Linked DNA regions of Schizosaccharomyces pombe. The protein of the gene in region 1 interacts with the protein of each later gene in a biochemical or structural test. Each region holds a gene or a part of one and is shown in the gene's direction. Other genes may lie near its edges. The genes, in order: hus1 and ape2.

The links.
Region 2: the proteins of hus1 (region 1) and ape2 form a complex in vitro, tested with the Schizosaccharomyces pombe proteins (one study listed by BioGRID).

The regions. Positions count from the first base shown.
Region 1 is NC_003424.3:4,820,693-4,824,620, reverse strand, and holds hus1 (checkpoint clamp complex protein Hus1), read left to right. Parts: upstream 1-1,917; 5' UTR 1,918-2,042; coding exon 2,043-2,085; exon of another isoform or gene 2,086-2,133; coding exon 2,134-2,242; exon of another isoform or gene 2,243-2,307; coding exon 2,308-2,320; exon of another isoform or gene 2,321-2,374; coding exon 2,375-2,969; exon of another isoform or gene 2,970-3,026; coding exon 3,027-3,130; 3' UTR 3,131-3,634; downstream 3,635-3,928. Other genes in the region: fmp40 (adenylyltransferase), read left to right, coding at 1-1,678. UniProt on the Schizosaccharomyces pombe protein: Essential in controlling the S-M checkpoint that couples mitosis to the completion of DNA replication. It is also required for the response to DNA damage.
Region 2 is NC_003423.3:2,411,107-2,415,034, forward strand, and holds the start of ape2 (aminopeptidase Ape2), read left to right. Parts: upstream 1-1,871; 5' UTR 1,872-2,400; coding exon 2,401-3,928. Other genes in the region: SPOM_SPBC1921.04C (uncharacterized protein), read right to left, coding at 1-298.

The DNA.
Region 1 (3,928 bases):
CAGCTCAACGTTCACATCAAATCTTCCGCCTGATCCACTGGTACCGACCGTACAGGCAATGAAAAAGGCTGATGACAGAATCTTACATGTTCCTCGATTTGTGGAAGGCGGCGGCTTATTTACTTATTTGACTCCATCACTAAAAGCCAATTCTCAATTATTAGCTTATAGCCCTTCGTCCGTGAAGTCATTAGGACTCGAAGAATCTGAAACTCAAACTGAAGCTTTTCAACAGCTTGTTGTCGGTTCTAACGTTGATGTCAATAAGTGTTGTCCTTGGGCGCAATGTTATGGAGGATACCAATTTGGGGATTGGGCAGGTCAGTTGGGTGATGGCCGCGTAGTATCCTTATGCGAACTTACCAACCCGGAAACTGGAAAACGCTTTGAGATTCAAGTCAAAGGCGCAGGAAGAACACCATACTCTCGATTTGCAGATGGAAAGGCTGTTTTAAGATCTAGCATTCGAGAATATTTATGTTGTGAAGCTTTATATGCTCTAGGCATTCCAACAACACAGGCTCTGGCAATTTCCAATCTTGAAGGTGTTGTAGCACAACGTGAGACTGTAGAGCCTTGCGCCGTTGTTTGCCGTATGGCCCCTTCTTGGATCAGAATTGGGACTTTCGATCTCCAGGGGATTAATAATCAAATTGAGTCTTTACGGAAATTAGCCGACTATTGTCTAAATTTCGTTTTAAAAGATGGATTTCATGGTGGAGATACTGGAAATCGCTACGAAAAACTTCTTCGAGATGTTGCATATCGAAATGCTAAAACTGTAGCCAAATGGCAAGCATATGGATTTATGAATGGTGTTTTGAATACTGATAATACCAGTATACTGGGACTATCAATTGATTATGGACCTTTTGGATTTTTAGATGTTTACAACCCATCTTTTACACCTAATCATGACGATGTATTTTTGCGATATTCATATCGCAACCAACCTGATATTATTATTTGGAATTTATCAAAATTAGCATCTGCTTTGGTTGAGTTAATTGGAGCTTGCGACAAAGTTGATGACTTGCAATATATGGAACAACTTCATAACTCTACTGATTTGTTAAAAAAGGCGTTTGCTTATACTTCTGAAGTTTTTGAAAAGATAGTAGAAGAGTATAAAAATATTGTCCAGAATGATTTCTATGATCTTATGTTCAAACGAGTGGGTCTTCCCTCTGACTCATCTAACAAAATTCTGATAACTGATTTGTTACAAATTTTGGAGGATTATGAATTGGATATGCCAAATTGTTTTTCCTTTCTTTCTAGAAACTCTCCCTCTTCAATGGAGAATGAAGAATATGCTGCAAAATTGATGCAAGCATGTATTTGTCTAAACCCGAATAATGAAAGAGTTAGAAATGAATCTGTCAAAGCTTTCACTAATTGGGTTGGTCGATATAGTGAAGCAACGAAAACTCAGGAAGATTCATCCCGATTAGCGAGCATGAAAAAAGTCAACCCACATTTTACTCTTAGAAATTGGGTTCTTGAAGAGGTGATTAAAGAAGCATACATCGGGAAATTTGAGCTTTTTAAAAAAGTGTGTAAAATGGCTGCCTGTCCGTTCGAAGATACTTGGGGGTTTTCCAAGGAAGAAGAGGATTATTTATGCTATAACACTACTCCCTCCAAAAGCCAAATTCAATGTTCCTGCTCTAGCTAGAACCCTTCTTACTTGCCATTTATTTTTTTAATGTAATTTAAAATTTAGGAATAGCTAATCGTATGAAATAAATGATACAACGAATAGGCTCTTGAGTATAATTTTTTTTAGACTCTAAGACTTTTGTAAATCTTTTTAAATTTTATTCATTAATTTTATTCCACTTGCCATTAAAATTTGCATTTGCTTAATAAAGATTGCGATGCAGTTGCTAATGCCCAGTTTGCTATTTCTTAGCTGGCTTTTACGCGTTCGTAGTTTTTTCGACCGAAAATTTATTATTGGTCGACTTTAACCTGCTAAACGCTTGAATAAACAAAATGCCAAAAAATCTCAATCTCATTAGTTAAATCAAAGACTGAAAATGAGATTTAAAACAAGGATTAGCAACTTGTACACGTTGACGCGTAAGTTGGAAAAGATCAGCAGAAAGTTCGTTTACTAATCAAATTTAGGTCTTGTTCAGGCGCTAGATAAAATTGGAAGATTTTGCTGGCTTCGTCTGATGCCTGAAACTGTAAATTTTGTGATAGTGCCAGATTTTAGGATGACTCAAGTTTGGTCGTAAGTGAAGATATTAAGCATTTAACGGTGAAAAAAATCACATTGTGAAACTAATAAAGAAACAGAGTTTTAGAAGTCGTATGATTAACTATCTTTTTCTATTTGATTGCCCTAACTAACGTAAACGGAAAGGAAACAATATTTGAGGACTATGTCGTCCAAAGCAATGCAGACAACGTGATAAATCTAGAAGTTCCTATAGATAATTTCTATAAAGCCTTACGATCAGCGGCCAACGCTAGTGATTCTACTGTTCGTCTATCCAAGAAGAATAACCAGCCATTACTTTCGTTGTCTACCACTTGGAGTGGAAGGGCGTTTGGTTCGAATATTGTGACTCATAATATACCTGTTCGAGTACTATCACAATCATACGTGTCAGTTATTAAGGAACCAACTGCTCCTGAACCAGACTGTCATATATTCCTTCCACAACTGAATTTTCTAAGACACGTCGTGGACAAATACAAGAGTCTTTCAGACCGTATTATAATGTCAGCCAACATGTCAGGCGAATTGCAGTTATCGGTAAACATACCTTCAGCTAGAGTAAGCACAAAATGGAAAGGATTAGAGAATCCAGAGTTAGATCCTAGTCAAGTCGAAGACATCAGTCGACATCCCTCTCAAACAAGGGCACCCGAAGAATTTGTTCACATGAGACTAGACAGCAAGGACTTAGTCAACATGTTAAAAATATCCAGTGTTGCAAAGCGTGTAATAGCGTGTATGTACTATGAGAGAATCCTTTTTATGACCACGAACTAACCTTTTTACATTACAGGTTTCTGTGAAGGACATGCGCTAGTACTTTATGTTTATATAACAGATCCAGAAGATGAACATACGGCTGTTTTAACATACTACATTAGTACCTATGTGGACTAAGGTTACTTCAATTTGTTTATGATTTGATTTAATTAACGAATAATTGTTATGAGTGACTAGCCACATTTTTAATGTACATTAAAATGAAAAGAGATTAATCAACATCTACCATGCTTATACTTATTTTCTCTCTCTTCCTTTATCGATCTTACCGTTCTTTTTTATTTATTTTATACAGTTGTTGTAATCTCGGCAACTCAGTGTTTTACTATTCCGTTGATATCTCTTAAAAGGATAACACCAAAAAGAAATATAATGTTCAAGTCACAGAAAATCTGTTGATAAAATCCATATGTTTTCACGTTTTCAATGAGAGATACATACGATTAAACACAAACGTATGTTTTCAAGCAATTAACTTGAATATGAATAAACCTTGGTTCATCTTTCTTTAATCTTTTAGACAAGCAACTGTTCAGAAATCTATAAAGTCTCAATTGAACATTTAAGTGCTCAATGGGAAATATATACTTAATAAAAATTGAATATTTTAATCGTTTTTTTGAGAAGATATATGCCATTGACTGTAGCTTCTATTAATTTCCGCCTATTCTTTCTTGTACTTTGGAGGCATCGCTATACATTTTACGTAGAAGTGATGAAAATGGCGAGTTCCTCTTTAAAAGTGCGAAAATTTCAGGCTGTCTGTCATCGGAATTGACTATGTTCGATAGTTATTCCTCCTCCGATGCAGTCGGCTACACATGTAAACTGTACCAACATTCAGTACGAAAGGGGCTGAACGTTGTTACCTAGAAAAGTTGGTATCGCAATAGAGGTAACGATAGTGAAAATCCC
Region 2 (3,928 bases), on another chromosome or scaffold:
CAAACAAATTACTTAAAAGGGTAGGGTTTAAAAAACAGTCACAAAGGTCTATAAACGTGAGTTTGTTAAGTTGAAGTTTCCCTATCGTGCGGTTATATACCGACGCCCACAATTCGTGTTGCTCACTTTTCTTTTTCTTTTTCCATGGAATGGTTTGAGCGTCATACGTGGGCCAGAGCCATATTGGACATCTTAGTGCCCTTACAGGAATAGTCATATTGATACTTTTTCTGTGGGTCGGTAGTTCAGATAGCTTTTTGCTTTGTAGTATAAGTTTTAAATTTTTTGTATGACTCATTAATGTTTTTTAATTCATTTTAATATTATTCATGTTATGTGTTGGTTGTATTTGTCTGTCTTGTGTAAATTTTGGTTGTATTCGTGGGTTTTAAAAACCTGCTGTTTACTTAATTTTGAATTATCGAAATTTCTTCCATTTTTTAGTGTTATAGGGACAGCTTGTTTGTCGGACAGGATACTCAATGGGTTTAACAAGCTACGTTCATTTCTATTTTGTCACTATTATGGCTGTAATGTGAAATATCATAGTTGATTGTGCCGTGGATAAAAGAAAAAATCCTAGTGTTCTTTGCTCTGTCTTCTCCACGGGTATTAACAATGCACATGCTGTATGTCGTTTAACGTTTAGATGCATTTCATATTTGTTCACCTTATCGTTATCTCTGTTGTATCTATTAAGTTCCCACACTGGGGCACTAAAATGGTGCGGAAGGATCCTATAATCGTAGGAGTCGTTGGTGTTTCTCTGCAATATCCGAGGATCTTATCTTATAAAAGGAGGTATACGGCACATTGCAAAAGAAAGTCAATTATCAAAATTGTATTGTAATTTTGTTTCCAGACAATTTTACCCTTGTTTATTTTGTTACGGTAAGTATTAAAAAATATGATGTCGGGAATGAAGAAACGATGAGAGCGATTAAGTGACATACAAACGATTTATTAGATTGGAATTGAAATTTACGTTCGTTTGGCGTAAATTCTATGATCGTGCTACCAAATATGTAGAAATAGACTTTGGTATTAAAGGAGGATTGACAATAAGCGAGTCGAGCAGTAAGTAATTATATTCTTGGGCAAAAATTTTTTTGTCATAAGACATGCACTGCCGATTTCATTTTTCTTAGGCAAAGTAGAAAAGCTCCGCAGCAATCTTAGAAAGAAAGGCAGTTTGTAAATAGAATCAAACAATCGTTACCACCGATGAGACCAAGTATTTTTGGCTTGGACGAGCTTTACTGTTTTTGAAGACCAAATATTCTAAGCCTAATAAAAACGCCTTGCTATGTGAGGGATAAATCTTTTTTTTCTTGTTACAAGTCTTGCCTTGAATTGTCTATTCTATTTATCGACGGTAATTTTAGCGCTTCGGAACCAAGAAAAGTGATGTAGTTTTTTCTGCACAAAACGGTAATATATTTTTGCGTGGTTTTATTCTAAACATCGAAAAGCTCCGGTTTCTTTAACTATCTCATCTTCCACTGAGTGATAAAGTCACCAACATTAGCACATTCGGGGGATTTTGAAATGTTTTCTCTCAACTGTCAAGCTACAAGATGTGTTTCTTCTTGTTTTACATTTAATATTTTTTATCTTAAAAAAGCAGCAGAATTCATAGCATCAATCAATATCTAACTAGTTGCTTCTGTTTTTGTTTTAAGGAGAGCTCGTTTATACTCCCTAAAATCACCTTGGATATGGGATTTCGAGTCGGTTACGACATTGGGGTTTATCATTTGTTGTTGTTACTTTAAAATAAGTTGTTTATGATACTTATGTTACGTGAAGAAACTATGCTTACTCCATCAGACGCTTATATATCCTGGGCACACACACATAGTGCTTTCACCAACCTTCTACTTACACCAACTACCTACTTAACCATCTTCATTGGCAGCTTAGACCTATTACATCTTTTCGTCGTTTAGTGTCTTTACGTTTTTCGTTTGTTGCTTGGAAAATATCATTACGTTTAAGTGTGTAATCGTGTGCTTTTCAGCGTTGTTGGACAAATTATCATCTGTTCCATCCCGTTTCCCATCGTTCTCATTTCCACAGCGTGGAAAACGACATCTACATTTCTTTGACTATTAAAATTTAAAATTAACGTTAGGTTTTTTAAGATTAATTAAGGAGTCTGTTGAATTACTCTATCGATCGTTATCGGCTGTTTGTTTGTTCGTATCGATACTTTTTCTAACTAACTGACTCATCGTTCGTAATTCCATCTTCCTACGGTTTTTGTACCATTATTTAATTAGTTGGCAAATTCTTCCTTCACCTTTCCCACTATCGTATCACATTTGCTCTATTCAGCTTCATTATTGCTCTGGCTAGTTTAGCTGTATTGATTTTCAGCGTTATTTTTCTTTTGTAAAAATGCAAGTCACCATTCCTAAATCTACTTCTAAGGAAGACGATAAAAATCGGAATTTGCTTCCAAAAAATGTTAAACCCATCCACTATGATTTGAGTTTATATCCAGATTTGGAGACGTTCACTTACGGCGGTAAAGTCGTCGTTACCTTGGATGTACTTGAGGACAGCAACAGTATTACTCTACATGGCATTAACCTTCGTATTTTGACGGCTGCGTTAGAATGGGGCAGCCAAACCGTCTGGGCCAGCGAAGTCTCTTATGGGGATGAGCGTATCGTTCTTCAATTTCCCTCCACTGTCCCAGCCAACTCTGTTGCTGTTTTGACGTTGCCTTTCACTGCCCGTATTTCCAGTGGCATGGAGGGTTTCTACCGCTCTAGTTACGTTGACAGCGATGGTAATACCAAGTATCTTGCCACGACCCAGATGGAGCCTACTAGTGCTCGTCGTGCTTTCCCCTGCTGGGATGAACCTGCTTTGAAAGCTACCTTTACCATCGATATCACTGCTAAGGAAAACTATACTATCCTTAGTAACATGAATGCCGTTGAGGAAACTGTCAAGGATGGTTTGAAAACTGCCCGTTTTGCCGAAACTTGCCGAATGTCCACTTACCTTTTGGCTTGGATTGTTGCCGAACTCGAATACGTTGAGTATTTCACCCCTGGCAAGCATTGCCCCCGTCTTCCTGTTCGTGTTTATACTACACCTGGGTTTTCCGAACAGGGTAAATTTGCTGCGGAATTAGGTGCTAAGACCTTAGACTTCTTCTCTGGTGTATTTGGCGAGCCATATCCTTTACCCAAATGCGATATGGTTGCTATTCCTGATTTTGAAGCAGGTGCTATGGAAAATTGGGGTTTAGTTACCTACAGACTTGCTGCCATCTTGGTTTCTGAGGATTCCGCTGCTACTGTAATTGAACGTGTAGCCGAAGTTGTACAACACGAATTAGCCCATCAGTGGTTTGGTAATCTTGTTACCATGCAATTTTGGGACGGCTTATGGCTTAATGAGGGTTTCGCTACCTGGATGTCATGGTTTAGCTGTAACCATTTTTACCCTGAATGGAAGGTTTGGGAATCTTATGTTACAGACAACCTTCAATCTGCTCTTTCGTTGGATGCACTTCGTTCCAGTCATCCTATTGAAGTTCCCATTATGCACGATTACGAAATTAACCAAATATTTGACGCTATCTCTTACTCTAAAGGTTCTTGTGTTATCCGCATGGTTAGCAAGTATGTTGGCGAAGATACGTTTATTAAGGGTATTCAAAAATACATTTCTAAGCACCGTTATGGTAACACAGTTACGGAAGACTTATGGGCTGCCTTGTCGGCAGAATCAGGTCAGGACATCTCTTCCACTATGCACAATTGGACTAAGAAGACAGGTTATCCCGTGCTATCCGTTTCTGAAACCAATGATGGAGAGCTTTTAATTGAGCAACATCGATTTTTGTCAACAGGAGACGTTAAACCCGAAGAAGATACTGTAATTTATTGGGCCCCCTTAAAACTTAAAA